Linked DNA regions of Drosophila melanogaster. The protein of the gene in region 1 interacts with the protein of each later gene in a biochemical or structural test. Each region holds a gene or a part of one and is shown on either strand. Other genes may lie near its edges.

Region 1 (3,537 bases):
AGTTAAACTATGTAGTAATTGATCGAAAACGGGTACCTCAACAAATTACCTTTAATTTATTAAAATGATTTAAACCATTATTAACCTCCCGACAGAAATCTAGGTGTTTGTTATTTTTCAGGAGGTGAGAATACATTTTTTAGAAGGTTTCCTTTCCCATTTGCTGAATAAGACACATTACTGTTGAATCAGTAATAGGTCAAAACCACAATGAAACATAATAAAAGTAATATCCAAACTGAAATTTATTTCGCATACTTCTTAGGCATTGCTAATAACCCAGGAGCGGAGGGCAGCAACATCGGCATAGACACCGGGGTAGTTGGAGTAAGCGCATCCGTATCCCCAGGAGACAACACCGACGAGGACTCCGCCGGAGACCAGTGGGCCACCGGAGTCACCCTGGCAGGCATCCTTGCCGCTGGCAGCAGCGCAGATCATGGTGCTGCGGATCTGGCTACCGTATCCGTAGGTGGAGGAAGCACACTGGCTCTGGCTAACGATGTTCACGTTCACGTACTGCAGCTGGGAGGGGATGGAGCTGGATCCGTAGGAGAGAGTGCCCCATCCGGAGACGGAGGCCGCAGCGCCGTTGGCGGGGTTGGAGCTAGCCAGACCGATGGCCTTGATGGTGGAGCTGAAGGTCAGGGCGCCGTTGATCTTGATGATGGCAATGTCGTTGACCATGGTGTTGGCGTTGTAGCCCTCGTGGTTCTTGAAGGAGGACACAGAGAAGGTGACACCGCCGGAGCTCCAGTAGCTGGATCCAGCACGGATCTGCAGGACGGAAGCGGACACGGACTGCAGACAGTGAGCGGCGGTCACGATGACGTTGCTGGAGTAGATGGATCCACCGCAGGAGTGGCTTCCACTGCGCTGCAGGGAGATCTGCCAGGGGAAGCTGCTGATGGTGGTAGCAGAGCCGCCGACAATGCGGCCATCCAACTGAGGCAGGAGTCCCTCAGGGACGGTGCCTCCCAGGGCGCAGGCTACTGCAGACAACAAGATCACGAACTTCAGCATGGTGCGAATCCAATGAGTTGACTCTAAACTGGACACCCCTTTTATACAGGGACCTATCTCTTTGTGGCGCTCTTATCATAAATTTCAATTATTTTTATCACTTGCTTGTCAGGGAAATCCAAAATATTTTTTAAATGTGTGACCGACAAATAGATTTCGCGAATAAGAAGTATATACGTATACAAAGTCCAGATTCATGCCAAACGATTTTTTTTTGCAATAAGTTGGTCATTTAAATAGCTTGAAAAAGATAGTCACATAAAGATATCGGGGTTTAAACGAAATTAAAACAATTTATATTTCTATAAACAATTTATTGTGTTTTAAATAAACAGACACCATAATTTTTTAAAAGAAATTATATAACTTATGAGAAACATCATGAGCATTACTAGAAAACAATGCAATTGAACGCATAATCATGTAATTAAAATTAATGCAAAGGCGATTAAATTGTTCTTAAAATTAATGGTTTTACAAAATTCACAAATTAAAATGCTAAACAGTTATTTTCTTTTAAAAAGCCAATAATATTAATAGTTATGCACACAATTATGTATAATAATTGGATTAGATTAGAACTAAATCAAGTTGAATGACAAGCATCCACTTTTAAAAAATTCCACAATGTTATTGTACAAGTTTAATCCCCTATTTAAATATGTAAGTCGAAAAAAGACGTTCCCATCAATACCTTGCAAATTAAATATAATAAAAAGAACGCGAATTATTTAGAAAGGTAATATAAAAGTAGTTACACTTTCCTTGCATTTTTATTTATTTTTGTGATAAAGAGCCGTGCGACTTCTGAGTTGTGGAATATCATTTGGGCACTTCAACGGTATTATTTGGGTTTTCCTGACACGCAGGTGATAAAAATAATTGAAAGTTGTGATTATAGTGCCAAGAACAGATTGGAAACTCGTATAAAAGGGGTGTCCAGTTTAGAGTCAACTCATTGGATTCGCACCATGCTGAAGTTCGTGATCTTGTTGTCTGCAGTAGCCTGCGCCCTGGGAGGCACCGTCCCTGAGGGACTCCTGCCTCAGTTGGATGGCCGCATTGTCGGCGGCTCTGCTACCACCATCAGCAGCTTCCCCTGGCAGATCTCCCTGCAGCGCAGTGGAAGCCACTCCTGCGGTGGATCCATCTACTCCAGCAACGTCATCGTGACCGCCGCTCACTGTCTGCAGTCCGTGTCCGCTTCCGTCCTGCAGATCCGTGCTGGATCCAGCTACTGGAGCTCCGGCGGTGTCACCTTCTCTGTGTCCTCCTTCAAGAACCACGAGGGCTACAACGCCAACACCATGGTCAACGACATTGCCATCATCAAGATCAACGGCGCCCTGACCTTCAGCTCCACCATCAAGGCCATCGGTCTGGCTAGCTCCAACCCCGCCAACGGCGCTGCGGCCTCCGTCTCCGGATGGGGCACTCTCTCCTACGGATCCAGCTCCATCCCCTCCCAGCTGCAGTACGTGAACGTGAACATCGTTAGCCAGAGCCAGTGTGCTTCCTCCACCTACGGATACGGTAGCCAGATCCGCAGCACCATGATCTGCGCTGCTGCCAGCGGCAAGGATGCCTGCCAGGGTGACTCCGGTGGCCCACTGGTCTCCGGCGGAGTCCTCGTCGGTGTTGTCTCCTGGGGATACGGATGCGCTTACTCCAACTACCCCGGTGTCTATGCCGATGTTGCTGCCCTCCGCTCCTGGGTTATTAGCAATGCCTAAGAAGTATGCGAAATAAATTTCAGTTTGGATATTACTTTTATTATGTTTCATTGTGGTTTTGACCTATTACTGATTCAACAGTAATGTGTCTTATTCAGCAAATGGGAAAGGAAACCTTCTAAAAAATGTATTCTCACCTCCTGAAAAATAACAAACACCTAGATTTCTGTCGGGAGGTTAATAATGGTTTAAATCATTTTAATAAATTAAAGGTAATTTGTTGAGGTACCCGTTTTCGATCAATTACTACATAGTTTAACTTATGTTAACCGAACTTACTCTTTAACAAAAGAGAATGCTATATTCGAGTTCCCCGACTATCAGATACTCTCGTTACTCAGCTAGTGTCAGGGTGAACGAACTAGCATCTTTCTTCTGGCATATCGATAGAAACTCCACAGTGAAAATGAATGAATGAAATGAATGAATGATATGAATGAAATGAATGAATGATATAAATGAATGAATGAAATGAATGAAATGAATGAAATGAATGAAATGAATGAAATGAATGAAATGAATGAAATGAATGAAATGAATGAAATGAATGAAATGAATGAAATGAATGAAATGAATGAAATGAATGAAATGAATGAAATGAATGAAATGAATGAAATGAATGAAATGAATGAAATGAATGAAATGAATGAAATGAATGAAATGAATGAAATGAATGAAATGAATGAAATGAATGAAATGAATGAAATGAATGAAATGAATGAAATGATATGAAATGAATGAAATGAATGAAATGAATGAAATGAATGAAATGAATGAAATG
Region 2 (4,122 bases), on another chromosome or scaffold:
AGATCTGATAGTATCCTGCATATTTCATCAACAAAGGATACCCTGCACTGACATCTTTAGAGAAACTTTCGTGGATGAAGGATTGTGCTGCATATTTAATGTCTTGCATCCGTATTATCTTTATAAGTTCAAGTAGGGTTCAACGAAGGTCAAAAGAACGAATAACTTACTTACTCATTTAAAGATCGCCCTACATTCGGGACTTCACTTCGTCCGACAGGTTTGCAGATATCGCCGTGGACTGGGATCCAATATCTGGCTACCCACAGAGACTACCCTCAAGTTACTATCCGCGTCCGGGAGTTGGAGTTGGTACCTCGATGGGTCTGCAAATCGTTCTCAACGGTCACGTGGACGACTATTTCTGCTCCTCCACAAACGGACAGGGCTTTAAGGTAAGTTGTGTTGTACGCTTTTTGCCCAGCTAGCTTATACCTTTCAGATACCTTTCAGATACTCCTGTATAATCCGATAGACCAGCCGCGCATGAAGGAGTCAGGATTACCTGTGATGATTGGGCACCAGACGAGTTTTCGCATCATAGCTAGAAACGTTGAGGCTACACCCTCTATAAGGAATATTCACAGGACGAAACGCCAGTGTATTTTTAGTGACGAACAGGAATTACTCTTCTATCGCTACTATACGCGCCGAAACTGCGAGGCCGAGTGCGACTCCATGTTTTTCCTGAGACTTTGCAGTTGTATTCCCTACTACCTACCACTAATTTATCCCAACGCCTCAGTGTGCGATGTGTTCCACTTTGAATGTCTGAATCGGGCAGAGTCCCAGATCTTCGACCTACAGAGCTCTCAGTGCAAGGAGTTTTGCCTGACCAGCTGCCACGACCTAATTTTCTTTCCCGATGCATTTTCCACTCCATTCAGCCAAAAGGACGTCAAGGCACAGACCAACTACTTGACGAATTTCTCAAGTGAATACATGCGCAAAAACTTGGCGGTAGTAAACTTTTTTCACACCGACAACTATTTCAGGAGCAGTGTAAGGACTTCGTATACCGGACCCACTGAATATATGGGTATGCTATTTATTAAATTTTTTAGATCTTAAATACTTTCTACGTTATTGTTATATCGTTACTAGAACAGTAATTGCAATTCCGATAATATTCCGAGTCTATCAGGGATGCCCGTCCGTCTGATAGTATAAACGTCCATGTTTTTTTTTTTTTAACTCGAGGGGGTATTTTAAGTCGATTAATAAAAACAGTCCATGTAGTGACGATGTTCACCCGGAGTGTAATGCACAATAAGAGAGTGTGTAATGCACAATCTGCTTAAAAAATCCAAATATTACCGTTTATCAGAAGGTATTTTTATGCTCAAAGTTGCATACTTAGGAGTTAATTTATTTGATACAAATCAAATATTACTATTTGTCGTTACATAACGTATGTAACTCGTCACCTCGTAAGGAAATATTTTTGCTTGATTTTGCCTAGTACCATACAAAAGAGCTTCAGGCTTATCCAAAATTGATAAAAACAAATTATACAACTTTTATATAGAGATGGTTTTAGAATTCAAGGCAGTTGACTAAAGCGTTGTATCTTCCTTGTATCTTTTCCAGCGTCAACTGGTGGAATCATGAGCCTAATGATTGGTTTCAGTGTAATATTCCTTGCGGAGATAATATACATCATTTTGTTTGTTTCAACATTGTTGCTTATATTAATATTCTGAATTAGTAAATAAAATAAACAACTTTAAATGTGTTACATAATCTAAATTACTTTTCCACAGGACTAACATTAAATAATGGACTGGTGTAGAAAAATGTAAAAGAATGTACATATGTAAATATAATCAAACAAAAATATCGCACAACGGTCATACAAATCCGATATTTTAATGCCGATAGTTCAGGCAGCACAGCACCTGGCAACCCTGGGGAATTACAGTTCAGTGGCAAAGTGACAAGCAAAAATACGAAAATGGTTCTGGAGAGTACTATGATATGGTAAATTATTGTTTTTTGAGCAATACGAAGAGCTTCCGCTAGTTTTCCCGTACTGCTTGCAACGGCACACAGTCTGGCACTCATATTTTGCTCTTTTCCAGCTTTGATAACAGCGACTTCCAGCGCAACGGAGACTACTTTCCAACTCGTCTCATCGTCCAGAGAGATGGCATCAATCTGGTCTGCCTGACCAAGCTGCGTTCCAATCCCGAGAACAATGTGGGCCTGATGACTCTGTCCAAGTGAGTGTGGAGCGTTTGTGCCCATGCCACATATTCATTATGTCTTTGTTTATACCTCAGCACCGTTGAAGTGCTGGCCACTCTTACTAGCGATGCAGGACGGATTTTCTCAAAGATGCATCTGGTTCAGCCGAAGGGCGAGATAAACCTCCTGACCGGAATCCGAATTGCCCATCTGGTGCTGAAGCATCGCCAAGGCAAGAACCACAAAATGCGCATCGTGGTCTTTGTGGGCTCCCCCATCAATCACGAGGAGGGCGATCTAGTGAAGCAGGCCAAGCGCCTCAAGAAGGAGAAGGTCAACGTAGACATAGTTAGCTTCGGTGATCATGGCAACAACAACGAGATTCTCACAGCATTCATCAACGCGCTTAATGGCAAGGACGGCACCGGCTCCCATTTGGTCAGCGTGCCTCGGGGATCAGTTTTGTCGGATGCCCTGCTGTCGTCACCCATCATTCAGGGCGAGGACGGCATGGGCGGAGCTGGCCTGGGCGGCAACGTCTTCGAATTCGGTGTAGATCCCAACGAGGACCCCGAACTGGCTCTCGCCTTGCGTGTGTCTATGGAGGAGCAACGGCAGCGCCAGGAGAGCGAGCAACGTCGCGCCAATCCCGATGGGGCTCCACCGACTGGCGGAGATGCTGGTGGCGGAGGCGGCGTTTCGGGATCTGGACCTGGAAACGAAGAAAGTGCCGGAGCAGAGAACGAAGCCAACACCGAGGAGGCCATGCTGCAGCGTGCCCTGGCCCTGTCCACCGAAACACCCGAGGACAACTTGCCGGACTTTGCTAACATGACTGAGGAGGAACAGATTGCCTTCGCTATGCAGATGTCCATGCAGGACGCTCCCGACGACTCTGTTACCCAGCAAGCAAAGCGCCCAAAGACGGACGAGGCAAACGCTCCCATGGACGTGGACGAGGATTACTCGGAGGTGATCGGAGACCCGGCCTTCTTGCAGAGCGTGCTGGAGAATCTGCCTGGTGTTGATCCCCAGTCGGAGGCGGTGCGCGATGCTGTCGGTTCACTCAACAAGGACAAGGACAAAAAGAGCGACGGCAAGGACTCGCAAAAAAAATAAACCGCATCTATGATTATATCTAATAAGCTCGTTTAAAGCATTTGTATGCCCATTAAAATCATTTGTAGCCGTCTTTCAAATTATGCTTCAAGTGAAAATATATAAACAAATACACACGATCTGCTGCTGACTTAATTGACTGCGAGGGTCTTTTCATTCACTGCATGTCTAGTAAAAATAATTTTCTAGTCCTGATAGTGGCCGGTCGACTCGGGTAAGCATGTTTATTAGGGAAGCATATGCATAATGCTTCTTCTATCTGTCACTCACGACTCTAGTTAAAGTAAATAAATTGGATTCTGTACTTAAAGTAAATGAACTTGAGCTCATTGGCCAGTTTTTGAAGTTAAACACGGAAGAATTTAAAACATCAAGGATTCCGCCCGCCTCTTTTAGAGTCCACTTTACACCTGGCATACTGCGTTTTATACAATGTCAGTACCATATATCAGACACACGTTTATTTACAGCTGGACCATAGATAAATAATAAAATCAGTTTGTGGCTCAATGCACTATAGTTTATTTCCCCGTAACAGGGGCACTATTGATATATTGATGCTCTCTACTTTACAAGCGTATTAACTATGTGTGGTCTCGTATGCAGATTACTTGTCGCCCTTGTAGTCCCGGATGTGGTAGAGCACCCAGGCGGGAATGAACAAGGATGCAGCGCACATGCCGCCGCCGAGGATCACCTTCTCCTGTAATGCAAAAAGTGAAGGATCAGTTTTTCGCTTTGGGAATCACATCCTGGTTATGCAACAAGCTCAAACTTACGGCGGTGGAGATGCGCTGGGTCGGAGGTCCAGAGACG

What was found.
Region 2: of the proteins of CG30031 (region 1) and Rpn10, one has a biochemical effect on the other in vitro, tested with the Drosophila melanogaster proteins (one study listed by BioGRID).

The regions. Positions count from the first base shown.
Region 1 is NT_033778.4:11,348,833-11,352,369, forward strand, and holds CG30031 (uncharacterized protein), read left to right. Parts: upstream 1-1,978; 5' UTR 1,979-1,994; coding exon 1,995-2,756; 3' UTR 2,757-2,789; downstream 2,790-3,537. Other genes in the region: gammaTry (gammaTrypsin), read right to left, coding at 262-1,023.
Region 2 is NT_037436.4:21,535,159-21,539,280, forward strand, and holds Rpn10 (regulatory particle non-ATPase 10), read left to right. Parts: upstream 1-1,841; 5' UTR 1,842-1,954; coding exon 1,955-1,980; intron 1,981-2,081; coding exon 2,082-2,222; intron 2,223-2,282; coding exon 2,283-3,306; 3' UTR 3,307-3,424; downstream 3,425-4,122. Other genes in the region: ppk5 (pickpocket 5), read left to right, coding at 1-132, 185-395, 454-1,039, 1,591-1,703; COX8 (cytochrome c oxidase subunit 8), read right to left, coding at 3,914-4,009, 4,086-4,122. UniProt on the Drosophila melanogaster protein: Binds and presumably selects ubiquitin-conjugates for destruction.